Linked DNA regions of Oryctolagus cuniculus. The protein of the gene in region 1 binds, or shares a complex with, the protein of each later gene. Links are inferred from orthologs where the notes say so. Each region holds a gene or a part of one and is shown in the gene's direction. Other genes may lie near its edges.

Region 1 (5,102 bases):
CCAGTAACCAAATACGGGTTCACTACTCTGTGAACTGTGGAAGCTGTATTTATTCCTCAGAGACTTATGTAAACCATAACCCTACGAAACATCTTCGGTGTTTCAAAAGTACCTCCTTCCCTGGCAGTGCTTACATAGTACTGCTTTTTCTTTCTTATCCGTTGTGTAAATACAGCTCTGCTTGGTCTTTAAGATTCCTTCAGAACCTTATTGAATACTTGAAGATAACAGTCTTTGTTTGCTTAGGAAAGATACACTGGTGTGGATTTCCAACTTGGGTCGTCTCCCAGATAGCACATGAGCTAAACTGGAGCACTAATAATAGGAAAGACAGTGGTGTCCTTGTGAAGTGCATTTGTAATCAGGATGCCTGCGCGGTTTCCCTGGGAATCTCATTTCTGTGGACTGGGGCATTTGGAGTGGGCTGGGCATGCATCGCAAGTGCTATGGAAACACAGGCCTGGGCACTCTCCTGAGCATGAAGAAGACCCAAGGGTTGGTGTGCCGAGTTCTCTCCACCCCTCGGGCCCTGCACCTAATGAGCTGGTGGTTCACAGCCCACGGCTGAGACTGCTAGTCTGCAGCGTCCCCTGGGCCACTGCATAAGAGCCACAGCTGCCTGGTGCATCCTCTAAGCATACCTCCTAGTACATGATTTGAAAAAATAGATTCTTAAAGCCAGGAGCCTACAACGCCATCTGCTTCTCCCATGTGGGTGGCAGAAACCCAGCCATCGTCTGCTGCTTTCCCACGTACATTAGCAAGGAGTTGGATCAGAAGCAGAGCAACCGAGACTCCAACCGCTGCTCATATGGGATGCTGGCATCATAGGCAGCAGCTTAGATTGCTGTGCTGCAAGGCCAGCCCCACCTTGATATTTTTCATCAGAGTTTTGTAGTTTCTCTCATGTAAAATAAGTTTTTTATACTTATTTGAAAGAACAGAGAGACCTTTATTTCTTTTTAAGATTTGTTTCTTTATTTGAAAGGCAGAGTTACAGAGAGAGAGTCTTCCATCCACTGATTCACTCCCCAAATGGCCATAATGGCTGTAGTTAGGCCGGTCTGAAGATAGGAGCTAGGAGCTTCTTCTAGGTCTCCCACGAGGGTGCAGAGGTCCAAGCACTTGGGCCATCTTACACTGCTTTCCCAGGCTTAGTAGCAGGTAGCTGAATTGGAAGTGGAGCAGCCAGGACTCTAACCACTACCCATATGGGATGCCAGCACTGCAGGCTGAGGCTTAACCTACTATGCCACAGCACCCGCCCCTGAGAGAGATTTTATATTCCCTGGTTCACTCCTCAAATGCTGGCAATGGCTAAGACTGGGCTGGCCGAAGTTAGGAGCCAGAAACTCAAACCAGGCCTTTCATGTGGATAGCAGGAACCCAATTACTTGAGCCAGTATCTGCTGCCCCCCGTGTCTGCATTAGCAGGAAGTAGGAGCTGTAGCTGGGCTTTGCAGCTGGACACGCCAGTGTGGGATGTGGGCGTCCTAACTGGTGACAACTGCTAGGCTAAATGCCTGCCCTGGTTTAGTGCAACACACAGCTGCTGGAGTTTTCTGTTATTGTCATTTTGTCCTTTAGAGAATGGTATTTTGTAAATGGAATCGTGCAGTAGGTAATCTTTAGGCTTTTTGAAATTAGTTTCTAGGGGAAGTGACACAGTGTGGTGGGGTAGTTTTCCCTATCGGAGTTCAAGTCCCAGCTCCTCTGCTTCTGATCCAGCTCCCCATGAATGCACCCTGGGAGGCAGCAGATGATGGCTGAAGTTCTTGGGCCCCTGCCCAAGGGTTAGGGTTAGGGTATGGGAAACTAGATGGAATTCCTGGCTTCAGCCTGGTCCATTCCTGGCTGTTGCGGACATTTGAGGAGTTAACCAGGGACTGGAAGATTGATCTTCTCTGTCCTTTCAAGTTGTTGAAAAATCTTAAAAAAAAAAAAAAAAAAAAATTGTTTTTTTCTCAGGTTGATTTATGTCTTAGGGACAGAGTTTGATCCTGCATGGGAAGAACAACTCATTCTGTTAGAGGAAACTGGGTATGAATATGTGTCCAGAAAGCTTGAGATTGGAAGGATTTTGTGTGTGTGGTAATGAATTTGCTTCAGGGTAGCAGGACTCAGGCTGAAGAGCAGTATTGATGACTTGGGAATGTATAAATTCAGGATCCCTGCCCTTGCAGCTCATGGAATGAGTATTTTCCAGGCAAGAGAATTTAGCACATGAGTGAAATTTGAAAGTTAGAAATCACAGTGAACTGAAGTACAAAATAAGTGTAAAAATATCAGCTAAAAAAATGTCATCTGTAAGTGTAGTTTATATTAACGAAGGTTTGAAAAAGCTCCAAGAGGTTGCGTACTGGTCACCCATGTTTTGTTTTCGTCTTGTGGTGTGGCGCAATCTAGATCGTCAGAAGCTTCAGCTCCGGTAAGAGAGAAGGCGGTGACTTCGTTTGCTGCGCCCTCTCCCCCCGGGGTGAATGGATCTACTGTGTGGGGGAGGACTTTGTGCTCTACTGTTTCAGCACAGTCACTGGCAAACTAGAGAGAACTTTGACGGTGAGTACTGCTGACCAAGGGCGTCTAAGAGCTTACGGCCAATGCTTGTGCCTCAGTATAAAAAATCTAACAGAGGCCTTTATGACACATTGAGAGTCCATATGTACTTGTATGAAATTACCTCCTTCGTCAGGAAAAGCCGTCCTTCAGTGACCGTGCAGCTGCAGGTGGGCAGGATGGCGCACTGTACACAAAGCAGAGAAGGAAGAGAACCACCCATCTAGCCAGCTAGATTATGTCTTCCTCGTGGGGGCTGGGGATTGAAGGAGGCGCTTTCTCTGTGTCTTTCTAGGGGCAGATTAGTTTTATGTTACTCTCTCAAATTGATTACGATGTTTTTAAAACTTTAGCTCTATGTATGATAAAAGTACATGGAGTAATTCATGCCAGCTGCTGTAACAAATAATCTGCAAAAATCTCAGTGGCTTAACACTATGTCACCATGTGATAGTTGGATACAGTCCTCCCTCCTATCTGCTTAGGAACATGCAGCCTCCCACGACCTCGTGCCTCCCACCTAGTTCAGGCAGGCTCTTCAGAGGGATTCATTACAGGCCTGTGCCACCTAATGCTGCGCTGTTTCCAGGTCCATGAGAAGGATGTGATTGGTATTGCACATCACCCTCATCAGAACCTGATTGCCACCTACAGTGAAGACGGACTCCTAAAGCTCTGGAAACCCTAACTCTCTCAACCAGCTTGGAAGCATGTACTTAAATGAAGACAGATCCATGAGTCGCTCCCCGCTCCCCCAGCCCCTGCCCTGAGGCCAGCTTTTCTAAGTGAACAGATCATCTTAATTAGGTACAAGAATACTTTTGTGAAAATTCGTGTTGCAGTAGCAGTAACCCTTTTTTAAATGTATTTTTAAGGTATTAGTTAATCTGTTTCTAACTGGGGCTGTCACTTATGTTTTCATTAATCTACCTAGAGCATAAAATACTGATATTTCTTAGAAAAATATTGTACCCCTTTGATTATCTGAAATGCTGATTAAAATGTGCCTCCTATATTAAAACTTGTAAATAAGGAACTACCCCTTAATTCAGTAGCTATTTTTTTTTTAAGATGTTAATAAACTTTACACCTTTCTGGAGACTTGTTTTAAGTATACATAATGCTCACCTAGTTAACATATTTACTTTGAATCAAGGGAAGAGGGGATGTCATCCTACCTGAATCTCAAGTCCAACAGGAAGTGGATTCCTGGGATAGGGTAGACTAACCTGTGGAAAGGCCAGGATGCATAGATCTCATTTCACTGCTCTCACCCTGCCCTCACGGTTCATTCTGAACCGTGCCTCTGCCCATGTGCATGTCAGCTCCAGGACTGTCTTCCGGAGGATCATTTATAAAAGTTTCAGCATTTCCCTTTCACAAGTAGAGGATTTGGCATTGAAAATCAGCTATTGTTCTGAAGGAAAATTAGAAAAGGACCTGGGGATTTAGAAGTCTCTTACAAGGTGCAGAACCATCAGTTGGCTTAAGAAAATTTAAAAGCCAATAAAACCTTTGGAAGTGCTTTGCTCAGTGTCTGATTTTCCAACCAAAGATGTATGAAGGTGCTATGCTATGTGCTATTTCCAGAATGTAAAATCTTATTTCTCTAGGCCTTTAATGCCCACTTTTTAAAGTTTGCAGTGTTTTATAATTTACCTCTGACCATGACTTTAAATACTGATCTTGTGCTTGACACATAATGCTCCAGGTTGGCTGAATTAATTCTGGGCAGCACTAAGAAATTCCTGTTTTCCAGTTACCTTATTTTCCTTCTGCCATAAAACCTGCGTAGCGTTTTGACGTTTCAAGAATGCTAGGGGGAGCTGGTTTTCACCCAGATGGCTCTGAAGGCAAAGAAGAAAGCTCTGGGTCCTTTGCAAAGCTGCTGAAGCTAAAGCAAAGGCTTTCAAAGCCAAGAAAGCAGTGCTGAAGGGAGTTCCGGCACAGAAATCTACACATCACCCATCTTCCACTGTCACGTTATCTGTTACAGAACTTACTGATATCATAATGTTCAGGACCAAACATTAACTGAAGACGACACTAGGTTCTGGAGGCAGCCCAAATTTAAGTGTCTTCCAAAGGGAACCCCCACAGGAGAAACAAGCTTGCCTGCTATGCCATTAGGAAGTTCCCTGATCACTGGTTCCACCACCAAGACTGAAAATGAAAATGCAGTTGTACCCATGGAGGTGCTCAAGACCAACTAGCACCAGCTCAGACTGTGAACACTGATGTGGCCAAGGTCAGGCTTGATGGGAGAAAGCAAGCTTGTGTTCATCTGGCTCCTGCTTTGGATGTTGCCAATAAAATTGTGATCTGAGTGCAGCTGGCTAATTCCATTGTATGTGTGTCTGAGATGATTTATTTCAAAGGTACACTGAGATTTGTTCACCTGCCTAACGGACACAACAGGGTTTGGTCAGAATGAAGCCAGGAGCCAGCCCACTTGAGATATTTCGCACGTGATAGGGATCCTTCTGGTCCCTTCCCAAGTGCATCTGCAGGAAACTGGATAGGAAGCAGAACAGCCAGGACACCAA
Region 2 (4,280 bases), on another chromosome or scaffold:
CAGATGGAAGTCTCTGTCTCTTCCCCTCTCTGTAACTCTGACTCTATAAATAAATACATAAGTAAATCTTTAAAAAAAAAGATTAATATTTTATTTATTTGGAAGGGAGAGTTACAGAGAGAGAAGAGACAGAGCACGAGAGAGATCTTCCATCTGCTGGTTCATTTTCCAAATGGCTGCAACAGTGGGGCTGGGCCAGGCAAAAGCCGGGAGCCCAGAGCTTCTTCCTGATTTCTTACAGGAGTGTAGGGCCCAAGAACTTGGGCTATCCTCCACTGCTTTCTTTCCCAGGCGCATTAGCAGAAAGCTGGATGGGAAGTGGAGCGCAACTGAGTCTCCAACTGGCGGACCCATGTGGGATGTCTGCATCACAGATGGAGGCTTAACCTCTACACCCCAAAGTCGGCCCCAGAAATAAACCTTAAAAAAAACAAAAAACCAATGAGACACGGTAACTTATTATCTCACACCGGAAACCGTTGACATTCACAACCCATCTAATATGCCAGGGAAGGGGATATCGTTAATCATATTGATTGACAGCTCAAAGCAGACCTAATCATCGTAGTTTCACAAACAACACACAGGATAAGAATCTCGCCATCTTTTCCCACTCAGTCCAGTGCTTTTTCCAGCTGTCACGACAGAAGGTCCCCCTACTGCGGGTTGGACTGGAAGTATCACTGAGTTTCCCTCCTGGAAAGAAGATGCGGGGGAACCCGGCAGTTCAGAGCAGCTCATCTTCAAGAAGACGACCTGGATAATGAGCCCTGGCCGCTAGGTCACAAACGACCCCGAGCTCCCTCTCTGGCCCCAACTACTCTATCCGTAAAATGGAGCGATAGCATCCGCTCCGCCGCTCTGCAGTGTTTCGCACACTACAGCTCAAAGACGGAAACAACGTGAGTCCTGGACAAAGGCAACGCAAATGGAAGGAAAGACTAAAATCCTCAGTGAAGAGATTAAGGGCGCTGAAGGCAGGCACGCACGCGCCTCTCTACTGTTGGCTTCTGGTTCCCCAGGGCGAACTGTGCGTCCTTAGCGGAGCAGGAAGCCTTCTAGGAATCCGACGTGAAAGAGGAACTCTCCTAGCGGGAGTGCGAACAGTGGCTGTCTGCTGCCGGGTGAATTAAGGATAAATGAGTCTACAGAGGAAAACGGCGGTTTTAGGGGCTCAGGTCGCCTTCCAGTCCGCGCGATGCACACTCACCGGGCGCCAACACTTCTCGCTCGAACCGCAAGCCGTTCGCTTCCCTCCGCTCCTGCTTCGGGAGCTCCGGGGGCTGCAGCAACTCTCCACAGCAACTTTCCACAGCTGCGATCCTCCTTTCACAGCCACCGGTCGCACGCGAGAGCCAAAGCTACCGCTCGGGTAGGAATAGAAGGAATGTGGAGAAAAAAAAATTCCCGCCAAACGGCGTAGCCCCGCCCCCAGACCGCCCTCGCGTTACGCCACTGGCCCGGTCGCCCCGCCCACCCCGGGGGACGCACGGCGTACTGCCGCCTACGTGCGGCGGCCATGGTGGATCCGCGGCGCAACGCGCCTCGCGGGCGTTCTCCGGGCTGTGGTGTTTCCGCTTTCAAGATGGTCGTCTAAGCAACCGAAGAGGCTTCCTCCTCCTCCTCCCCCTCTGAGACTCGGCGGTTTTTTTTAACTCTGGATGTGACGCATTAAAGAACACGACGGAAGTGGGGCTGAAGGCGTTCTAAAATGGCGAACCGTACTGTGAAGGATGCGCATAGCATCCACGGCACCAACCCTCAGTACCTGGTGGAGAAGATCATTCGGACGCGAATCTATGAGTCCAAGTACTGGAAAGAGGAGTGCTTTGGGCTTACGGGTGAGCGGGATCGCGCGAGGCGTGGCTCCTTAGTCCCGACTGGGCGCCGGGGGGCTGGGGGAGAGCGTGTCAGTCGTTCAGACAGGAGCGCCAGCTGTTTCCTCGTCTTTTGTGGATCGTGGGGGGCACAGATGAATCTGATAGGGCCTCGCCGTATTCTGAAGGGTTTCTCGAGTTCTTGGAGTCATTCCCCGCTTAACGGTGGCGTGCAGGGTTCTGAGCAATCTTCGGCTCAGGAACCTACTGTAGCTCCTTGACGTATCCTCTTGAGCTATCAAAGGGCCGCAAGTGTCCGACACAGTATTCTTCATCTCAGTGCCCTTAACTGCGGGCCAGCTCACTATTTCCGGGTGCGAGTCCTAATTTGAATTGCAGTACTGAGGACTTTGAAGCTAGTCTTTTAATCTTCTTTACCCCCCATTTTCCTCAAGTGGAAATGGGGACAGTGCCAGATACTTCCTCACGACATGAGAAGATTGAGATAATGTGAAATGCTTAGATATCCGGGCATATAGTGATATTTCAGTGTGTATGGATTACTGTCATCATTAGTATTACCATTAAAACACACTTGTTCTATTACACTACTGGTGACTTCTGAGGAGCGCTGAACCTTGAACCAATGCCACTTCCAACCAGGAAAATCTTACCCCTAATATGATTGAGGTGTTGCTATTTGTTTTTGTTTTTTAGCTGAACTGGTGGTCGATAAAGCCATGGAGTTAAGGTTTGTGGGTGGTGTCTATGGTGGCAACATAAAACCGACTCCTTTTCTGTGTTTAACCTTGAAGATGCTTCAAATTCAACCTGAGAAGGATATCATTGTAGAGTTTATCAAAAATGAAGATTTCAAGTGAGTGCAATATTGACTAATACAAAAAGTTCAGTGGTTCAAAATTGGGATTTTGTTAAGAGTTCTTTACACAACATTTTAACATTTCTCATTTCCACAAAGAGTTCCACTCTAGGTTTTTTTTCTTAAGTTTGTGTTTTCTCTGTTCTGATTGTGATAATCTGCTTTACTTTCTTAGTCATGATCATTTTCCCCCTTTAATAGAATTTCCCATTCCCTGAACATATATTATGTAGAAGTGAGGGCCTAACAGGATAAGCACTGGACACTCACAAGTGGAGAAAACAACAGAGGGTAGTAATTATGAGATGTTAGATCTAGGTTCATGTCCAGACTCTTAATAATTGTAACCTTGGAAAAGTTACTTAATTTTCAAATCTTTGCTTTCTTTTTCTGTAAAAAGGAGACAAATACCTACACAGAGGATTTATGTGAGAGTTGAAGGTGGTGCTTGCAAATTTGTCAGCACAGTGCCTGTTGCATGGAAAACAACTGGAAAGTATCAGCTGCTCTTAACTATTTTATCCCATTCTCAAGAAGCTCACAGAGCAGTATAGAGACAGACATGATAATGGAATATTGTGTATTATATCCTAAGGGCTTTACATATAATTATTCATTTGTCTTCCTAGCAACACTGTAAAAGTATTATCCCTTTATTACAAAGTAGGAAACTGAGGCAGAGATTAAATAATTTGTCTATGGTCAACAGCTAGTAAATGGCAAAACTGACTCCAGAACTCATATTTACTAGTCTCCTTCTCATATAAAGAAGCTGTTGGGTTTCAAAAGCCTGGTAGTTATCTATGTGGAGAGCTGAGTAAGTAGTTGGATATAGGAGGAAGGGAAAAGGAAGGAATCTTTCAAAACATTGGCAGCTACAAAATAGCTGATTTTTGTTAGGCACTTATAATATGCTTTAGCACTTTGACCATTTCTTATTTCATACATTGGGCTAAAGACTTAGTTATATAATATCCATTTTACAAGAACTGGGGAAGACAAGTAACGTGTTCAGTGTCACAGAGTTAGCAAATAATGGAATCAGAATTTTAACCCAGATGGATGACCTTTTTCCAGAACCCACATTCTTATCTATTGTGCTACTGTTGTTAATTAATGCATCTATGCCTTCTGTTAAATTTAGTATCTCATTTGATTCTTAGATTAATCCTGTGAGGTAAATAGGTTTTATCCACATTTTACAGATAATATAATTGAAAATTGAATATGTCCAAGGTCCCAAAGCTAGTACAAAATACAACTTGAGCTCTCTTGACTGTCAAAGTGAAAAAAACATGTTTGTCTATTGTTGTCTTAAGAAAAGCAATCGTAAAACTAAAAAACGTCTTGGGATGGCCTGTTATTTCACTGTCATCTCTGTTAGGTATGTTCGTATGTTGGGGGCACTTTACATGAGGCTGACAGGCACTGCGATTGATTGCTACAAGTACTTGGAGCCTTTGTATAATGACTATCGAAAAATCAAGAGCCAGAACCGAAATGGGGGTGAGTATGGTACCAAGGCTCTGGACTGTCATTCCTAAGCCAGTTTTTATTTCACCAATATCTCTACCTTTGCATTG
Region 3 (4,568 bases), on another chromosome or scaffold:
GGGCCTCACAAAAGGTAGGATTTCACAAAGAGCTCATGTGAGAAAGGCACACTTAACTACTTTTCCTGTTGCCCTCATTGACAGTTTTTAGTGAATTTTTCACAATGCACATTAGCTATGCTGAGTGCTCTCCCATGCATGATCCTTCCTTCTTGGAAATCCCATAGCTGTTGATACATAACCTGTAATGGAGGAATGTTAGGTTTGATATAAGGTGACCACTTCACTATTCTGCTTTTAGAAAATTTTGTGAAACGTCAGTCAGTGTAAAACTCTTTGAAGAATACATAGTTCCTTGGAAAACCTAGTTGTACAGATTAATTCCCAGTACTAACCAGTTTTTCCTCTTTAGTCATGTTTAAGAGAGCATCTCTGGACTTCTATTTGATTAAGTTAACACACAGAGAGAAGTAGAGGCAGAGAAAGCTGGACCAGAAGTGGAGCAGCCAGGACTTGAACCAACACCCATATAGGATGCTGGCACTGCAGGCGGTGGCTTTATGCACACCACAGTGCCAGCCCCAGGAACCCAACTATTTAGATGTTACCTGCTACCTCCTGTGGAAGTATTGTTAGCTTTTAGTAATTTTTGATTTCTTAAAAGATGACAGGTACCTTTGAGGTCACTGCCTTGCTTTTGGAAATCCAGAACCTATTTCCAAAGACACTCATCATTGTTTATCTGTTTCTGATTTGCAGGCAGAGGTGATCATGAACTACCATGTTGGGGAGACAGTGCTGTCATTACAGAAGACCACACTGATCCCTGGAGGCTCAGAGTCACTTGTCTATACCACTTTATCTGGAGGAATTGGCATCCTTGTTCCATTCACATCCCATGAAGTGAGAACCCATATTAATCTGGGCTGAATCTTGTAACTAGGAAAGTTCTGGGAATTTGACAAGGTGCCAGGTGTCACCTTCCTAGGGAGATAGGAATCCTAATATTCCTCCCCTTGCCCCTACCAAGACATTAGTTTTTAAGCTGAACTACAGTGACTAGAAGTGGGAGTTAGATATCTGCTAGAGCACTTTCTTTTTTATAAGATTAATTTATCAGAAAGGCAGTTACAGAGAGGCGGGATGGGGGTTCTTCCTTTGGCTGGTTCATTCCCCAAATGGCCGCGACTGCTGGATTTGAGCCAGTCCAGAGCCAGGAGCTTCTTCCAGGTCTCCCACACTGGTGCAGGAACCAAAGGACTTGGGCCATGTTCTACTGCTTTCCCAAGCATGGCGGAGCTAGATCGGAATTGGAGCACCTGGGTCTTGAACCCGTGTCCATATGGGATGCTGGCACTGCAGGCGGTGGCTTTACCCGCTATGCCATAGCGCTGGCCCCATGCTGGAGCACATTGTGCCTTATGGAATCATTCTAGCCTGATAGTCTAGGGTCTGGAATATGACTTCAAAAATTGCTCTTACCCATGATGTTCTCTTTTGTGCTACAAATACAGTACATTCTTTGGGGTTTTAGCTGTCCTGTCATATATGAAGAACCTTTGATCATCAGAAGAGTGATTAGATATTTACCATTTGTTTGCATGGGGAAATCAATGACTTGTTCACTGTGCTTCTGAATACTATCCACTAGTGGTTGAAATCACTTTTATTTTAGTGACAGGCTCTTTATTTCTTCCACCAGGACCATGACTTCTTCCAGCATGTTGAAATGCACCTGCGGTCTGAGCATCCCCCTCTCTGTGGACGGGACCACCTAAGCTTTCGTTCCTATTACTTCCCTGTAAAGGTAGCTTGAGGGAATCAGCCCTTTCAGCTGATCTTTTCTTTTAGCCTCCATCTCCTTAAAAATCAGAATAATGCAGCATAAAGGAGTGGCAAGGGATTGGATTGGGGGAGGGGTGCTTGGTGATTATATTCAGAATCTTCTCCCCTCAGGTCATATCATAGCCAAAGAAAAAGCTTCACCTAGTTTTGCTATTCTGAACTCTGACTACTAAGGACTGAGAATGTGCTCCCGACTCTACAAAGTAGAGTGATTCACTGGGGAGAATACAAAGCATTCTCTTTTTTTAATTTTCTCTTTTGATGTGTTTATTTACTTGAAAAGCAGTTACACAGAGAGAGATCTTCCATCCCCGGTTCACTCCTCAAATGGCTGCAGTGGCTGGGGCTAGGTCAAGCTGAAGCCAGGATCCTGACACTCCCATCTGGGTCTCCCATGTAGATTGTGTATGCCCAAGCACTTGGGCTGTCTTCTGATGCTTTCTCAGGTGTAGTAGCAGGGAGCTAGATTGGAAGTGGAACAACTGGGTTAAACTAGCACTCATGGGATACCAGCATCACAGGCAGCAGGTTAATCCACTGCTCCACAATGCTGGCCTCTTGTTCTATTTACTTTGTGCATTTAACCTTTTTTCCTTCTGATTACTTCATGTCTTAGAATGTGATTGATGGAGACCTCTGTGAGCAGTTCAATTCCATGGAGCCCAACAAACAAAAGAATGTCTCTGAGGAACTGGACCGAACTCCACCTGAGGTGTCTAAGAAGCTTGAGGACATCCGGACCCGTTACGCCTTCTGAGCCCTTCCTTGCTGTATATGTGGGGCTGCCAAGAGACTTTGTATTTTCTTTTTCCTGTCGCCACAACCACCACCACCACCTCGCTTCTGCCATATGGCAGGAGAAAGGTGACAGGAGAATTAATTAAGACTTTGCCGTTAAAACCAACAGCTTTTTCCCCCCTCATGTCTTCCCTTGGAATGACTGGTTCACCCTTAAAATTGGCATTGAGATTTATTGCACTTCTCCCTGCCTAGTACATGATACATCTGGGTTCTAGTGTGGAACATGTTGTTCCCTCTTCCTCAAGGCCATCCTTGCATCTGCCTTTTGTCTACTTTTGTACACATGCCTAATTTTTAACTGGTTTTCCTGTAAATAGAGTTTTGTACAATGTCCTTTGTGGAAGGGAGGGAGGCACACATTGGTGGGAACCAGGTTGGATATAGTATTGCTCTTGAGTTCTTCCACTCTAGGACCTACCCAGAAATACAAACCTAGTTTTTAAGGTGGCTGGTGTCCATGTGTGTTTTTCTGTTCAAAAGAATCTAGGTAAGAGATTGAAGCCTATCTTGGAATAAGAACCGAGCATCCTCCTTCCTTCTGAGTACCTGCTTAGACTTCTAGCACCCTGTGGCTGCCTACTCTTCCCAACTCAGTGATGGTTTTGTGACTTTTCCTGATTTCTTTTTGCCATGCAACTGAAACTTGGGTTCAGTAACCATGTGGACATCCGCTCTTCTCCCATTGGATATTGAGGAAGAGTGACTGATTTTTCTATCCCTGTTAGAGCTTCCTTCTACTTTCGGTCTTGAATTGATGGGTTAAGCATGAATACCAGCATGATAGTCTAATTTAACAGGCATTCTCTTTACTTCTACAGCTCCTGAAAAGATCTTTGGTCCTATGACTACTAGGAGAGGTCAGTAAGTACAGAAGGACCCAGATACTAACCTGCCCTTGGGAACAAATTTGGAATATGTGGGCCCTATTTAAAGGCCTATGGGTAACCAGGGGGTGCCTGTCTCTGAAGTGCACACACATCTTAGGTTCCATAAGATCCTCAGGGTATAAGAAAAGAGCACTGCGAGCCTGTTGGCAGGAAGTGGTTCCGTTTCAGAAATGTTTGAGCACACTGGAAAATTCCTCTTCTTCCAGCTGTGTGGGAAGCTCAAGATTTACCTTCTAGGCAGTTCATCTGCACTGAAACTGGTTCCCACCTCAAGTACCTACAACAGATAGGGGATGGGTCATGCAGAAGGCAGGAGCCTGGAACTCTGTCTGGGTATCCCATGTAGGTTGCAGGGACCTAAATACTTAAGCCATCATCTGCTGCCTCTCATGAGCAGGAAATTGGATCAGAAGTAGATGAGCCAGGACTGGGCCCAGGCACTCCAGTGGATGTTCTAAGCAGTGACTTGACCTCTGTACCAAACACCTAAACCTTTAACTTGGTTTTAGATCAGTCAGCAGAGACCTAAATCTTGTCAGAAATTAAACGTGTTCTTGCTGAGCTCATGGATCTGCACAGTGGATAGGACATCAGAATTATGTTTAGAAAGCCTCATTGCAAGACCTATTCATTCCTGTGGCCCTAAATCCATTCTGTCAAAATTGTATGGTGATATGCAGTTAAGTGTGAGAAACTAAGCCTCTTTATCCTAACTGAAGTTTGAAATATTATATCGTAGTAGGAATTACATGAAAAAAACAGTCTCTTTGACAATCAGGAATTGTCCCACTGAGTTTCCTCCACAGATTGTCCATCATTGCTTGCTGTCTGTAGGAGGAAGGCAAGGTATATTTCTTGAATGCCAGCAGGGAATTAGGCTCGAATATGTGAGAGGAAGAATTTGCCTCAAGATGCTCAAAAGGAATTTTCCTAAATAGTTGTTGACTGGATGAGGCTTAAATACAGATCCTATCTATGAAATTGTTAAGGGGACTTAATTGGCTCCTTTGGTTTGATGGAGCAGCTAGGTAAAGGAAGTCCTTAGCCTTGGTGAACACACCCAGTGTTGTAGAGCTTGACAGGCATGATGCCAGG
Region 4 (5,011 bases), on another chromosome or scaffold:
GTTGGAAGCCACTTCCATCTTGTTATCTGGAGCTACTGCTTCTAGGACACGTGGGGCCAAGAGCTTTTTATGTGTTTTTTTCAGCCATTATTATTAATTTTTTTTCAATATTTATTTTTTATTTGACATGCACAGAGATGGGGAGAGGGAGAACTAGAGATCTTCCATCTGCTGGTTCAGTGCCTAAATGGCTGCAACAGCCAGGGCCTGAGCTAGGCTGAAGCCAGGAGCCAGGAACCCCTTCTGGGTCACCCCTGTGGGTGGAAAGGGTTCAAGGACTTGGGCCATCTTCTGCTGCTTTTCCCAGGTACATGAGGAGAGATTTGGATAGGAAGTGGAGCCGCCAGGACTTGAACTGGCTGCGCCCATATGAGATGCCAGTATTACAGGCTTTGGCTTTACCTGCTGTGCCACAATTCCAACCCCAGCCAGGTTATTTTTGTTACGTGCTTTATGAAAAGGTTTTCAAAAGGCTAGGAAAAGACTTTTTGAGGCTCTGAGGATGTTGTAATGACCTTGCCTTCTTATTTTGAACCTCACCCAGATCAGCGAAACCTGGGTATGTCTATGCGTGTGGAACGATCTACACTGGATCAGGTGAAGAAACGTTTTGAGGTCAACAAGAAGAAGATGGAAGAGAAGCAGAAGGATTATGATTTTGAGGAAAGGATGAAGGAGCTCAGAGAAGAAGTAAGGCACTCCTGTACAGCCCCAGCTTTGCATTTTATATCGTGACTCATGGGAGGCCTCTTCCTCATTGCATCCCCAGCCCCAGAGTTGTATGTTCTGAATATTAGGGGAAACATTTATTGTCTTTATTTGAGTCTCTCATGATCTGAAGGAAATGACTTCAAACCTACCCTTTTCTCCTGGACTTTCTGGGCCTTGCTTTTTTTTTTTTTTTTTTTTTTTTTTTTTTTTTTTTTGACAGGCAGAGTGGACAGTGAGAGAGAGAGACAGAGAGAGAGAAAGGTCTTCCTTTGCCATTGGTTCACCCTCCAGTGGCTGCCACGGCCAGCGCGCTGCGGCCGGCGCACCGTGCTGATCCGATGGCAGGAGCCAGGAGCCAGGTGCTTTTCCTGGTCTCCCATGGGGTGCAGGGCCCAAGGACCTGGGCCATCCTCCACTGCACTCCCTGGCCACAGCAGAGAGCTGGCCTGGAAGAGGGGCAACCGGGACAGCATCCGGCGCCCCAACCGGGACTAGAACCCAGTGTGCCGGCGCCGCTAGGTGGAAGATTAGCCTAGTGAGCCGCGGCGCCGGCTGGGCCTTGCTTTTATGGATAATTGTGCTTTCATTTAATTTTTTAAAAAGACTTTTTGTTTCATTAAGAAGGTTTAGGGCCAGCAACATGGCTCACTTGGTTAATCCTCCAACTGCAGCACTGGCATCCCATATGCGCGCTGGTTCTAGTCCCGGTTGCTCCTCTTCCAGTCCAGCTCTCTGCTGTGGCCCGAGAGGGCAGTGGAGGATGGCCCAGGTGCTTGGGCCCCTGTACCCACAAGGGAGACTAGGAAGAAGCACCTGGCTCCTGGCTTCGGATCGGCGTAGCTCCGGCTGTAGTGGCCATTTGGGGTGTGAACCAACGGAAGGAGGACCTTTCTCTCTGTTTCTCTCTCTCACTGTCTAACTTTGTCTGTCAAATAAATAAAAAAAGAAAACAAAAAGTTTAGAGTAAAAAAAACTTGAGAGGAAGGTATGGAGATTTCCTTTTTCTATTTTTTAAAGATTTTATTTATTTGACAGAGTTACAGACAGTGAGAGGGAAAGACACAGAGAAAGGTGTTCCATCTGCTGGTTCATTCCCCAAATGGCTGCCACAGCCAGAGGTGGGCTGATCCGAAGCCAGGAGCTTCTTCTGGGTCTCCCACATGGGTGCAGGGGCCCAAGCGCCTGGCCCATCTTCTACTGCTTTCCCAGGCCAGAGCAGAAAGCTGGATTGGAAGAGGAGCAGCTGGGACTAGAACCAGTGCCCATATGGGATGCCGGCACCTCAGGTGGAGGATTAATCTGCGCCACAGCACTGGCCCCTTCCTTTATCTTTCTTTTTTTTTTTTAAAGATTGATTTGTTTATTTGAAAGGCACAGTTAGAGAGAAAAGGAGAGAGAGAGAGAGAAGCTCTTCCATATGCTGGTTCACTCCCCAAATGGCCATAACAGGCATGGCTGGGCCAGGCCAAAGCCAGGAGCTTCATCTGGGTCTCCACTGTGGGTGCATGGGCACAAGGACTTGTGCCATCTTCTGCTGCTTTCCCAGGCACATTAACTGGGAGCTGGATGTGCAGTGGAGCAGCCAGGACTTGAATCAGTGCCCATAGGGGATGCTGGCATCACAGGTGGTGGCTTAACCTGCTGTGCCCAGCGCTGTCCTCACTGAGATTTCCTGGTTGTCTCCTATACCTGTGTGTGCATAGCCTTAGTCTTTTCTGTGGATTAACTAAATTGATCAAGTCATCAAGAGGCCCCTGGTACCAGGCTGATAGGATCAGAATTCTGTTTCCACCATTTAATGGCTATGAATCTTTTCAAGTTATATATGGCCTCAGTTTCTCCATATTGGAGATCCAAGTGAAATATATAAAGTACTCAGAACAGTTCTTGGCATGTACTGCATATGCTAGAATGTCAGTTAGTTACATGCTTTTGTCTAACTACTTTCTCCCAAATACAGAGAAAATCCTGACATGTACATGTATCTTTTGACAATATACAGTTCAGGAGTCTGAGCTGAGTCTGAGTGGTTTCCCCCACAGGAGGAAAAGGCTAAAGCCTACAAGAAAGAGAAACAGAAGGAGAAGAAAAGGAGGGCTGAGGAGGACTTGACATTTGAAGAGGATGATGAGATGGCAGCTGTGATGGGCTTCTCTGGCTTTGGTTCCACGAAGAAAAGTTACTGACGCTTTCTATACTTGGCCTCATTTTGGCCTATGCTGGACCTAACTTTGTGTGTGTATGTGTTGGGGGTAAGGGAAATACTTCTTTTTGGGTACTGGGGAAATCCTTAAGAGTGTCAGTGGGGAGGGCTAGAGGGTGGGTGTTTGTGATTTCCCTCTACCTTGGGAGAGGGCACAGGATGCAGAGGTAATGCTATGGCATATTCCTTGAGCCTCAGTTTATCGCTGGAGTCACAGGACCTCTGCCCATCTGAGTTCCCAATAAAACAAACAAAACCCACCTTCCCTCGGAGGCTGCTTTCCCAAAAGCCTCTGCATCTTCATCTATTCACCTTCTTGTCTGAGCATCCTACCTTTATCCTGTGTTCTGCCTTTGTTTTAATTTTGACTTAATGTTCAGCCTGCAGCAGAAGGGATCTCGGGCTCCCCACTTTCCAGTTGATGGGATATCCTTGACAAGCCCTTCCTTCTCCCATCCTGCCCTGAGGTTCTTCAGCCACCTGTGCATGCATGTGTACTTCTGCCTGGGTCAGTGGTGTGTGCGGATGTGTGTGCATGAATCTGTCACATAGAGGGGGCCTGCGCTAGAATCTCAGAGCATTGTTGCCTTGGGGCCTGATGTTCTCGCCTCCTCAGAGCATGTAACAGGAAATTAAATGGGATGAGTGTTTGGTGTGGCTTGTGTCTGGTGAGTTTTTTAACATTGTTCTTCGGATGTAGACTGTTTCAACTACTGTTTGTTTCCTTTTACTGAGGATTTCTCTGTTTTTGTCTTCCTTGTGAGCAGGCTCTTGGAAGAACCTGTTTGATGCAAAAAAGAAAACAACAACAAAAACAACAAAAGCTCAAAACCTCATTGTGGGAGCCCTTGGGTCACAGGGCTGTTAAACATATATAATAAATAGCGTTGAGTGGGCCTGTTTGACATTTGGTGGGAACATTTCCAAAATCTTCCCTTTGTATGTTTTCCTTTATCTCACTGAGGATTTCCAGATAGAGCTTCTATACTCCCTTCATTGACCCCTCTTCCCTTTCATTGACCCCCCCCCCCCCGGTTTTTTTTTTTTTTTTTTTTTTTTAACTAGGTTCCTCCAGTTTGAACTGTAGTTCCCTCTGATACAGTATCTGTCCAGAGGAGTCTGGACAAAAGAATTTCTATAATTTCAGTCTCGTTGGATCTTCCTTGTTTTGGAACAGCAGAGCTCAGTTTAACTTAGTGTTTCTTTCACTAGCTGTGGTTGGTCTAGGCACAGTTACTGAACTTTGGCACTGTTGACGTTGGGGCTGGATAATTCTGTGTCACAGAGACACTACTGTGTGTTACAGGATGTTTAGTGTCATCTCTAACCTGTCCCCACTAGATGCCAGTAGCACCTCCTCCTGCAGCTGTGACAATAAAAAAGATATATACATGTTCCTGAGTGAAGGGGGCAAAATTGCCTTTGCTCTGTTGCGAACCTTTGAGAATGGTGCTGCCTTCCCAGCTATGGTCTGACTTGAGAGGTGGCACAGAACTAGCTAATGAAAAGGAAACCCCAAATCTTTGCTACCCTAGACCAAGTACTGGACCTGGAATGTGGGGGGTGGGGGGACAAAGCAGTCAAACACAGAAAAGAGTAATAGTCATTTTAAGCAGATGACTGATGCAACTACTGCTAGTGATTCTGTACCCTGAAAAAGGATCTATTTGGGTTAACAAGGTTGCCACCATGTGGCTTACTTTCTTCCTCTGCTCTGTCTAGCTCTTCACGCCGCTTTCTTTAGCATCTGAACAACTGTGGATTCTGCAGAGCACCATACTCTTACCTCTGGATTTCATACCAAATTCCCTTGCTGCCACACATGCCCTTTACCTGGTTAATTTTTGATGCTGAATATTGCTCCGGGAACACTGTGACTGTGCCTTCTGTTGGGTTAAGGCATGGGTCAACGTTTTAGATAGAGTCTTGGCCTCCTGGAGACACCAGTGGATTGTTTCCTTGGCAGGATTATGTGCACTAGAGCTCCATGGGTACTCTGCTGTAGTTGACTGGATCATCTTGTCACTCCTTTCAAGGCAAGCTGGAGCAGGTTTCAGTTTTTTCCATGATTTAGTCTTCATTCTTTAGGAGGTCATC
Region 5 (4,198 bases), on another chromosome or scaffold:
ACAGACTTGAGAAGGAGAAAGCAGAAATTGAACGCATGCGGAACCTGACTGAGGAAGAGAGACGAGCTGAGCTTCGGGCAAATGGCAAAGTCATTACCAACAAAGCTGTGAAGGGCAAATACAAATTTTTGCAGAAGTATTATCACCGGGGTGCCTTCTTCATGGTAAGACATGAAAAGGGAGTCAGAAAAATGGGCAGTAGGAATAACTCAGAAGTTTAGAATTCTTTCTTCTCCAAGAATAAGCTGTTCTGTAATGTTATTTCCACTTGCAACCTTTCTCATTTACGTTTTGCCTCTGAAGAATATAAACCCAGAGAAAAGTGTTAGCAACTGAAGTAGCAGCAACTCTTCTCTATTTTGGCCCTAGTTCTCAGAAAGAGGAAATGATATTAATAGAAAAATTCAGGCAATGAAATAGATAGTAATCCAAAATAACAGTCTGTTAGCCTTGTATAAAGTGATGCACACCTCTTAGAAAATATTGAATTAACACCACCATTAATTCTTTTAAGAGGAAAAGCAGGAAAGGTAATGGAAAAATCGATTTGCATTTATTACTTGATAGCATATGGTTTGTTAATTTCCCGATGTTAAGAAAGTTGGTATCAAAAATTAAACTAGCTTTTTCAAGTGCTATTTATCAAAGCCTAAATATCTCATCCTGCCCTTCACTGCAGATACTGGTAAAATCTGAAAACTTCATTGGAGATGTCTACTCTCCAAAATCAGCCTTAGTCTTACTGATCAGCAGGAAATGCTTATTATGTGATTTTCCAGCACAAATGGTTTTCCATAGTTAGTAGAGATTAGAATTACTTCTACTCTTTGAAAGTCATAAAGTGTCTTTCTTTATTTCATCATTTCAATAGCTTTTATAACCATGCTTCTTAGAGAACCAGTGTATTACTGACTAAAATACATAGGTAAAGTTTATATGAAGTCAGTCTTTTGGTACACGTACTCAAATATTAACTCTGGACCAGGAGAGTAAAATTGAAATGGCTTCTAGGATTAAATGAAGGACTTTCAAGTCCACAGTAGAAAAGATCTCACAAAAACTGTTAATAGTCCTGTCTTTAAAACTGGTCCTTCCTAAACCAAGATGATGCTGTTTTTATTACCTCTAGCATGTATGTGTGTAATCTCTGCCACAGCATTGTAATCTGACACATTGGTTCAAAACTATTCGCTATGTTTCATTAAGTATCCTTTTATGCACTACCAAAGAATATAAAATCCTCCCCTCAAAAGGCTCACAATCTAAAAGTAGGTCTAAGTCTACTGAAGGTACTCTGGCAGTTTCTAAAGAGGGAGATGTTGTATTTGGTTGATTGAAAACAATGACATGTATAAAGGTAACACTTCAGATGATTGACTTGACTTTTCAGTGTTAAGACATTCCAGCAGGAGGGGAGGCAGAAAAGTATCAGCTATAAAAGGAAGTGGCAAAAAGAACTAAACAGATTAAGGCTTATATTTGGCCTTACCTACTACAGAACCATTGATGTTTTTGAGCAAGGCAGATACATAATTAGAATTGTATTCTAGGCCGGCACCGTGACTCATTAGGCTAATCCTCCGCCTTGTGGCGCTGGCACACCGGGTTCTAGTCCCGGTCGGGGCACTGGATTCTGTCCCGGTTGCCCCTCTTCCACACCAGCTCTCTGCTGTGGCCAGGGAGTGCAGTGGAGGATGGCCCAGGTGCTTGGGCCCTGCACCCTATGGGAGACCAGGAGAAGTACCTGGCTCCTGCCATTGGATCAGCGCGGTTCGCCGGCCACAGCGGCCATTAGAGGGTGAACCACCGGTAAAGGAAGACCTTTCTTTCTGTCTCTCTCTCTCACTGTCCACTCTGCCTGTCAAAAAAAAAAAAAAAAAAAAAAAAGAATTGTATTCTAGAAACATTAATGGTAGGGAAAAAAACTACGTGATAAGAGTTTATGAGATGTGGCAACTGATTGAATATACACAAGATTACTCCAGTTTTGAAACTATGTTAACTAAGAGAATGTTGGGCCTACTTACAAAGAAGTTAAATCAACGGTGGGCATTGTGGCATGGTAAGTTAACCCATGCCTGGGGCTCTTACATCCCTTATCAGATTCCAGTCCCAGCCAGCTATTCTGTGCTTCCTATCCAGCTAAATCCACCTATGCAGTTAGATATGAGTTAAGACCCAATGGAATATCTGTTAAAATAATATAAAAGGCAGTAGAAAATTCAGAGTTGAGAGGCTTGTTCATAGTTGAAGGCATGTGCGTAAATGAGCACACAGATTATAGTAACTCGTGTAAGCCCTTGAAGAATGACTCAATAATCTCTGTAACCTTTGTTATATTAACTCTGGCTTGAATAAAAGGGAATAGAACTAAAATAACTGATTATATTCATTTCTGCAGGACGAGGATGAAGAAGTATACAAGAGAGATTTCAGTGCACCTACCCTGGAGGATCATTTCAACAAAACCATTCTTCCTAAAGTCATGCAGGTATGGGGAACCTTAGTAACATAAGAGAAAGATCATATATTGAGGACAGAGGTGTAGTATGTTTGGTGTTACGTGTAACTCATCATTCATCCTTCTCAGGTCAAGAACTTTGGACGCTCTGGCCGTACCAAATACACCCACCTTGTGGATCAAGATACCACCTCCTTTGATTCAGCATGGGGTCAAGAAAGTGCCCAGAACACCAAGTTCTTCAAACAGAAGGCAGCTGGGGTACGGGATGTATTTGAGCGACCGTCTGCCAAGAAACGGAAAACTACTTAGGGTTCAACTACATAATTCTTCCACCTATGGGACACAACAAGTCTTAGCATCTGGTCTTCAGTTTGCTTTTCCCATTATTTATATGGCCCGCATATCCAGGCTATTGGACCTTCTACCATACTTGTGATAACAGGTAGTCCTGTCTTTGAAGGTGCTTTTTGAGGTCTGGACTCATGCTGAGAATCCCACAGAAAAGCACTATGTGGGTACTGGAGCCTTCCCATTTGAAACTATTTCTGAGAAATCTCGGGTTTCATCACTGCTGTGGTTTCCCATATTTACTTGGGACTGTTGTTCTGAGATTCTTTTTCCAGACCCTTAGCTTGGGTCAGAAACATGAGCATGTGAGTGGAGTGGACAATGCCTTTCTTCTACCTTAGTGTTGGGAGTAACATAGCAGGAAATCTAAGCTCATTGAAATGTTTTCCATTTTTAATTGGAGTCAGTTTTTTCTAAGTGAATGTAATTCTTGATCCATTGATGTGTGTCAAATAAAAAGTCACACACCGATTTTTATCATGATGCAAACACAGAATACACAGGCTTATATTAACTACCTAATAAGTAAAAGCAGGGAATTCAACAGAGGATGTTTCATATTTTAACCATCCCCTTTGTTCTCAGAAACTGATACTTTCAATGGAACACGTTTATTCCATGTATAAAAATACAAATGTTTTGGTTATCCTGTCTGTCTTTATTGTAGATGTACATAGAACAAAAGTTGACCCATGAAATGGGACATCAGTCTTACTGAATCAGAGTCACCACAAATGTGTTCTCCATAGCCAACTCATGTATCAGTGAAGGCACCTAGGCTCTCTGAGCAGCACATTAGTGTTAAATTCACATTTAATATTGTATAACCATCATGCACAAGGAATTCCAGGGGTCATGGGTTAATCAGTGAGAAGACTGGTTTGTCAGAGCGAAGTCTTTTCACATCCTTTAAATGCCCCACTAGAAGAATCACTCTTAAAACTTTAATGTCCTAGGATGAAAATACAAGTGTAATTAAAGTAATAAAGATGCACAAGGCACTGTTTTATGAGATACAATTTAAGAATTATCCTAGAGCCAAAATAAGGCCTTGAAACTCATTTTGGAAAGTGCTTAGAGTTGGCATTTGAGTGTCTACTCTGAAGCAGGTACAAAGTTAAGCTTGTGTATTCACCAGCTCATTAGTTCTACAGCCTATTATAGTTGAGGAAACAAGCACATCAAATGGGACTTGACCAATGCTAATCAACTTAAATTTATTTCAAAGAGAGAGATGTAGATAGGTCTTCCATCCACTGGTTCACTCCCCAAATGGCCACAACAGTTGGAGCTGAGCTGATCTGCAGCCAGGAGCTTTTTCTGGGTCTCCCACATGGTGCAGGGGCCACTGCTTTCCCAGGCACATAAGCAGAGCTGGATAGGAAG
Region 6 (5,368 bases), on another chromosome or scaffold:
CCGGTGGAGCCCCGAGCTAGGTGCAGGACCTCCCATTTATTATGTAAGTGCTTCGTGGCTTCACAGCAGCCACTGAGTCAGCTAATGTGGGGAGCGGGTGTGGGGGGAACCATCCTGGACATGGGGATGAAGTGGGGTAGGGAATTGTTTCAGTCTGTGGGAGAGATGAATGGGAATCCCTCTTGGTGACACTCACCTCAGTTTTCTCTTTTCAGCCCATGGACGTCGACAAAGGTGGGTCCTGTGCACGGTTTTTTCCATTAGCTATTACAGTGCTGCTTTCCCTGGGCTGAATTTGATCTAGAGCGCAGAGCTGGTAAAGGTCAGATTGGGAAGCTTCTTGATTGTGGGTTCTCAAAAGAATCATGTCTTGCTTGCAGGATAGACAGGATGAGTCTGGAGTTCTGTGCACCTTCCTGGGCAATGGCAGGATATGTTTGGTCTTAGATAGCATTTCCTGTAGCCCTGGGGTTTTGAGCAGGTGCGTCGAGGTTAATTGTGCAGTGTTCTGGTTACCTCACCACCATCTCCTCCACAGTAGCTCATTAATAATTGGAGTGTGGATAAAATTTTATTAGATGAAAGGGTCTGTTGCCAGGAAAAAAATATTTTTACGAAAGGCGCAGGTTGGAAGTGTTTCAAGGGGAGGAATTTGTGAGTGCCTTGGTTCTAAGGCTGAGCAGAGTTCTTTTTTTCTCAGGACCTGGCTCTGCCAAGGAGTTGATCAAGTCCATCAATGAAAAGTTTGCTGGGTCTGCTGGTTGGGAAGGCACTGAGTCATATCCTTTATTTTAATATGTTCCTGGGTTCTGAAGAACTGTCCCCTTTTCAGCTCTACCTCACTTGCCTCCCTGCTCCCTTTTGCCCCCTCACTCCTTCTGCTTTATGCTGAATTTGACAGGGATGAAAGCTTGCCTTGCCCCTCCCCTGGGGGTCCCACTGAAGCTTAGCCCTCTCCTTAGAATTTTCACGTTGAGACTTCTGACGCTTGGACTCTCTTGCCTAAAGTTTTTCTTAATGAAATTGTATCTAGTATTTTCTTTTTTCTCTTCCCTCCCCTCCCTTCACCTTCCCTCCCCTCTCCTCCTCTCCCCCTCCTCCTTCCCTCCCTCCCCCCCTCTTTCAGATTTATTCATTTATTTTGAAAAGCAGAGGTACAGAGAGGCAGAGAGAGGGGTCTTCCATACTCTGGTCCACTCCCCAGATAGCCACACTAGCTGGAGCTGTGCTGATCCAAAGCCAGGAGTCAGGAGTCCCCTTGGGGTCTGCCACATGGGTGCAGGGGTCCAAGGGACTACTCAGGCCATCTTCCACTGCTTTCACAGTCCATAGCAGAGAGCTGAATTGGAAGTAGAATAGGTGGGTCTCCAACTGATGCCCATTTGAGATGCCAGCACCGCAGGTGGCAGCCTTACCCGCTCTGCCACAGTGCTGGCCCTTAGTATTTTCTTTAACATAGCATATGTTAAAGAAGCCAGAAGACAAAAAGCAGCTGGGAGATTTCTTTGGCATGTCAAACAGTTACGCAGAGTGCTATCCAGCCACGTACGTGAGACCCAATAAGGAAGGGGGGTGGCTGGGATTATGGAGAAAAACTTGGGGGGATGAGGTGGAGATTTGATTTGCTGGGACTCAGGGATATTTCTTACTTGAATTAACTGTTCGACTCTGGGAAGTCTAGAGGAGAAGTCATTTCTAGGCAAACAGCTCTGAGTCTAAAGCATCTGTTTTACCATTGCTTCTCTTTAGGATGGATGACATGGCTGTGGATAGTGATGAAGAGGTGGATTATAGCAAAATGGACCAGGTATGGCATTGGAAGGATGGGGTCCTTTTCCCATATCTCCTCTTTCCTGCTCTACAGGAATCTGTGTCTCGCTTACTGGGCCTGACCCTCCTTTAGTTGCACCATTAGAAGCAGCAGTATTACAAGTCGGGAGCAGCTGAGCTGTTTTTGAAGTTTCTGCACACGATCAAATGAGCTAGGGCCAGGAGTCCTTCTGTTTCCTACAACAATATGCCAGGCTTTGATTTTCCTCCTGGTCCGTAAGAAGGCATTAACGCATGTGTGGAGAGGGAAGGAGGAATTGCAGTCTTCAGAAAATAAGTGAACTTTATTCTAGCCAGGATTAAAGTTTTCCTTTAAATATTAAACAAAATTAATGTTGAAGAAATATCATCTGCTTTTCCTTTATTCTCAGTGTACTGCAGTAGCTAAAAGCATTCTTTATTCTTGGAGCTTTGTTTAATTCCACCTCTACCATTTACTAATTTTGTGACTGCCAAATTGTTTTACTGTTTTTTGTTTTGTTTTGTTTTTGTTTTAAGATGTATTTATTTATTTGAAAGTCAGAGTTATACAGAGAGAGGAGAGGCAGAGAGAGAGGGGGTGTGGGGTAGGGTCTTGTCTTCCATCCGCTGGTTCACTCCCCAATTGGCCAGAGCTGCGCTGATCCAAAGCCAGGAGCCAGGAGTTTCCTCTGGGTTTCCCATGCGGGTGCAGGGGCCCAAGGACCTGGGCCATCCTCCACTGCTTTCCTAGGCCATAACAGAGAGCTAGATTGGAAGTGGAGCAGCTGGGTCTTGAACCGGCGCCCACATGGGATGCCGGCGCTTCAGGCCAGGGCATTAACCCGCTGCGCCACAGTGCCAGCCCCTTGTTTTACTGTTTATGCCTCAGTTTTATCATCAGGAAACTGGAGAGAAATATAGTTCTATCTTCACTGACTTTGTGAGAATTAAATAAGAGGTGTTTAGGTGTGTATGTAGAATAATGTCTATCACATAGTTTGCAGTAAGCATTTATTATTTGTTAGGATAAGACTTTTTTTTTTTTAAATTTTTTTAATTTATTTTTTGACAGGCAGAGTTAGACAAAGAGAGACAGAGAGAAAGGTCTTTCCTCCGTTGGTTCACTCCCCTAATGGCCTCTACGGCTGGGCCTGCACCCATCCAAAGCCAGGAGCCGGGTACTTCCTCCTGGTCTTCCATGCGGGTGCAGGGACCCAAGCACTTGGGCCATCCTCCACGGGCCACAGCAGAGAGCTGGACTGGAAGAGGAGCAGCCAGGACTAGTACTCAGCGCCCCAACTGGGACTAGAACCTGGGGTGCTGGCGCTGCAGGTGTAGGATTAGCCTAGTGAGCTGTGGCGCCGGCCAGAATAAGACTTACAAATGGTGAAATGTGGGATTTTGGGAGAGTCTGGCTTTAACTAAGGGCTACTTCTATTTCCACTGACTGACTCTTCCCTGCCTGTCTCCCCTTTCTGTTTTGCAACAGGGTAACAAAAAGGGCCCCTTAGGCCGCTGGGACTTTGATACACAGGAGGAATACAGCGAGTATATGAACAACAAGGAAGCTCTGCCCAAGTGAGTTGTTAGAGAACACGGGCAGGGAGTGATGAGGCCTATGGTGATTGGGTGAACTTGCCTACAAATCAAGTTAGAGGATGTCTGGATGATAAATTCTTCAGTAGGTTGTGTCCCTGCAGGGCCCTCTGGGAAACCTTGCTTCTGCTTTGCCAACCTCTCATGCCTGCTTCACTCAATGGCTCTTTTCAGGGCTGCGTTCCAGTATGGCATCAAGATGTCTGAGGGGCGGAAAACTCGGCGCTTCAAGGAAACCAATGACAAGGCAGAGCTTGACCGGCAGTGGAAGAAGATAAGTGCGGTGAGTGGGACTGTCCCTCAGGTGTGAGGCTTTCAGCTGAGAGGAGGCCCTGGCTTACAGGCCCAGAAATAGACAGGGAGAGCCATGCAAGTGACCGAGAGGTCAGTCTTGGGCCGTATCTGCATTTACTCTGGCTGTGTGACTCATTTATCACTCGTCTTTTTGCAGATCATTGAGAAGAGAAAGAAGATGGAGGCTGACGGGTGAGCAGCTTCCTCTGTGGGTGTGGTAAGAACTGCCTAGTGTGTGTATCTTATGCTGATCTGTTTCTCCTTTGATTGCAGGGTTGAAGTCAAAAGACCAAAGTACTAATCTCCAGTTCCAACTGGAGAATTTCCACAGGCTCCCACTGCTTTCTTTCTATAATTCCCAGAAAGGTTGCAAGGTGTTTCTGTGAATGTATATAAAATTTTGTTGTATAATCATTGGTTCCATTAAAATTGGTTAACCTGCTGTCTTGTCTTTTCTGTGTTCATCCTCCCTTCTGGGTCCCTGGAATACCAATCCTCTGGTTGTGATTTTATGGTTAAGATGTCACTTGGGATGCCTTCATTTCATATAAGGCTGCCTGGCTTCATGTCCTGGCCCTGCTCCCAATTCCAGGTTCCTGATGATGTACACCCTGGGAGGTACCAGATGGTGGCTCTGGTAGTTGGACCCTTCTACCCACATAGGAGACTTTGATTGAGTTCCAGGCATCTGGCTTTCTGCTTCACCCAGCCCTGCCTGTTACAGACATTTGGAGAGTGAACCAACAGATGGAAGATCTCTTTCAAATTAAAAAAAAAAAAAAAAGTTTTATTTATTTATTTGAAACAAAGTTACAGATAGGAAGGGAGAGACAGAAAGGGAGAGACCTCCTTCTGCTGGTTCACTCCCCAAATGACCGCAGTGGCCAGGTCTGGTTTTGGGAATGGCCAAAATCAGGAGTCAGAATCTTAATTTGGGTTTCCCATGTGGGAGCATCTTCTACTGCTTTCCTAGGTGCATTGTTAGGGAGCTGGATTAGAAGTGGAGCAGCAGGGACATGAGGTGGTAGGATGGTGACATTGCAGGTGCAGCTTAACTTCACTGTAACATGCTGGCCTTCAAATAAAAAATTAAAAAATTTTAAGAGATCTATTTATTTGAAAGGCAGAGTTACAGAGAGGCAGAGAGAGGGAGAGAGAGAGAGAAGTCTTTCATCTCCTGGTTCACTTCCCAAATGCCGGAGCTCGGCTGAAACCAGGAGCCAGGAGCATCTCAGTCTCCCACATGGGTGCAGGGGCCCAAGGACGTGGGCCTTCCACTGCTTTCCCAGGCCATAGCAGGGAGCTGGATTGGAAGAGGAGCAGCTGGGATTTGAACTGGCACCCACATGGGATGCCAGCACTGCAGGCAGTGGCTTTACCCAGTATGCCACAGCACTGGCCTCCCAAATTTTTAAAAATTAAGAAGAAATCACACCTAGAAGGATGTGTCAGTTCTTTCATGAGCTATGCTGCTATATTCCTCGACAATAAGGATATTTACTGGCCAGTGTGCCCAGCAGGGAAGGAAAGAACGACCCTAACTGATGGGCAAGATGTGGACAGAGGAACCTAAATGATTAAACATGTTACTCAAGCCTGTCTGAGGGCCTGATACCTGACACTAGGACAAATTCCCTGCATATTGGAGTCTGCTTAGCAGGCTGCTGGCCTGATCCCAAGGCAGTGC

What was found.
Region 2: SMU1 (region 1) and PRPF38A share a complex: the UniProt entries of both Homo sapiens proteins name them as parts of the spliceosome B complex. The link is inferred for Oryctolagus cuniculus from reciprocal best matches to the Homo sapiens genes SMU1 and PRPF38A.
Region 3: SMU1 (region 1) and SF3B3 share a complex: the UniProt entries of both Homo sapiens proteins name them as parts of the spliceosome B complex. The link is inferred for Oryctolagus cuniculus from reciprocal best matches to the Homo sapiens genes SMU1 and SF3B3.
Region 4: SMU1 (region 1) and ZMAT2 share a complex: the UniProt entries of both Homo sapiens proteins name them as parts of the spliceosome B complex. The link is inferred for Oryctolagus cuniculus from reciprocal best matches to the Homo sapiens genes SMU1 and ZMAT2.
Region 5: SMU1 (region 1) and MFAP1 share a complex: the UniProt entries of both Homo sapiens proteins name them as parts of the spliceosome B complex. The link is inferred for Oryctolagus cuniculus from reciprocal best matches to the Homo sapiens genes SMU1 and MFAP1.
Region 6: SMU1 (region 1) and IK share a complex: the UniProt entries of both Homo sapiens proteins name them as parts of the spliceosome B complex. The link is inferred for Oryctolagus cuniculus from reciprocal best matches to the Homo sapiens genes SMU1 and IK.

Annotation. Positions count from the first base shown.
Region 1 is NC_091432.1:196,460,685-196,465,786, reverse strand, and holds the end of SMU1 (WD40 repeat-containing protein SMU1), read left to right. Parts: intron 1-2,406; coding exon 2,407-2,559; intron 2,560-3,145; coding exon 3,146-3,244; 3' UTR 3,245-3,655; downstream 3,656-5,102. UniProt on the Homo sapiens protein: Involved in pre-mRNA splicing as a component of the spliceosome. Regulates alternative splicing of the HSPG2 pre-mRNA. Required for normal accumulation of IK.
Region 2 is NC_091438.1:120,514,402-120,518,681, reverse strand, and holds the start of PRPF38A (pre-mRNA-splicing factor 38A), read left to right. Parts: upstream 1-1,480; 5' UTR 1,481-1,711; coding exon 1,712-1,841; intron 1,842-2,534; coding exon 2,535-2,694; intron 2,695-4,081; coding exon 4,082-4,203; intron 4,204-4,280. UniProt on the Homo sapiens protein: Involved in pre-mRNA splicing as a component of the spliceosome.
Region 3 is NC_091449.1:56,643,611-56,648,178, reverse strand, and holds the end of SF3B3 (splicing factor 3B subunit 3), read left to right. Parts: coding exon 1-14; intron 15-699; coding exon 700-843; intron 844-1,642; coding exon 1,643-1,747; intron 1,748-2,401; coding exon 2,402-2,542; 3' UTR 2,543-3,033; downstream 3,034-4,568. UniProt on the Homo sapiens protein: Component of the 17S U2 SnRNP complex of the spliceosome, a large ribonucleoprotein complex that removes introns from transcribed pre-mRNAs.
Region 4 is NC_091437.1:28,335,330-28,340,340, forward strand, and holds the end of ZMAT2 (zinc finger matrin-type protein 2), read left to right. Parts: intron 1-544; coding exon 545-690; intron 691-2,753; coding exon 2,754-2,897; 3' UTR 2,898-3,810; downstream 3,811-5,011. UniProt on the Homo sapiens protein: Involved in pre-mRNA splicing as a component of the spliceosome.
Region 5 is NC_091443.1:66,689,240-66,693,437, reverse strand, and holds the end of MFAP1 (microfibrillar-associated protein 1), read left to right. Parts: intron 1-4; coding exon 5-164; intron 165-2,401; coding exon 2,402-2,491; intron 2,492-2,590; coding exon 2,591-2,773; downstream 2,774-4,198. UniProt on the Homo sapiens protein: Involved in pre-mRNA splicing as a component of the spliceosome.
Region 6 is NC_091437.1:28,289,954-28,295,321, forward strand, and holds the end of IK (protein Red), read left to right. Parts: intron 1-215; coding exon 216-234; intron 235-700; coding exon 701-779; intron 780-1,464; coding exon 1,465-1,545; intron 1,546-1,749; coding exon 1,750-1,807; intron 1,808-3,280; coding exon 3,281-3,369; intron 3,370-3,561; coding exon 3,562-3,670; intron 3,671-3,838; coding exon 3,839-3,873; intron 3,874-3,954; coding exon 3,955-3,982; 3' UTR 3,983-4,123; downstream 4,124-5,368. UniProt on the Homo sapiens protein: Involved in pre-mRNA splicing as a component of the spliceosome. Auxiliary spliceosomal protein that regulates selection of alternative splice sites in a small set of target pre-mRNA species. Required for normal mitotic cell cycle progression.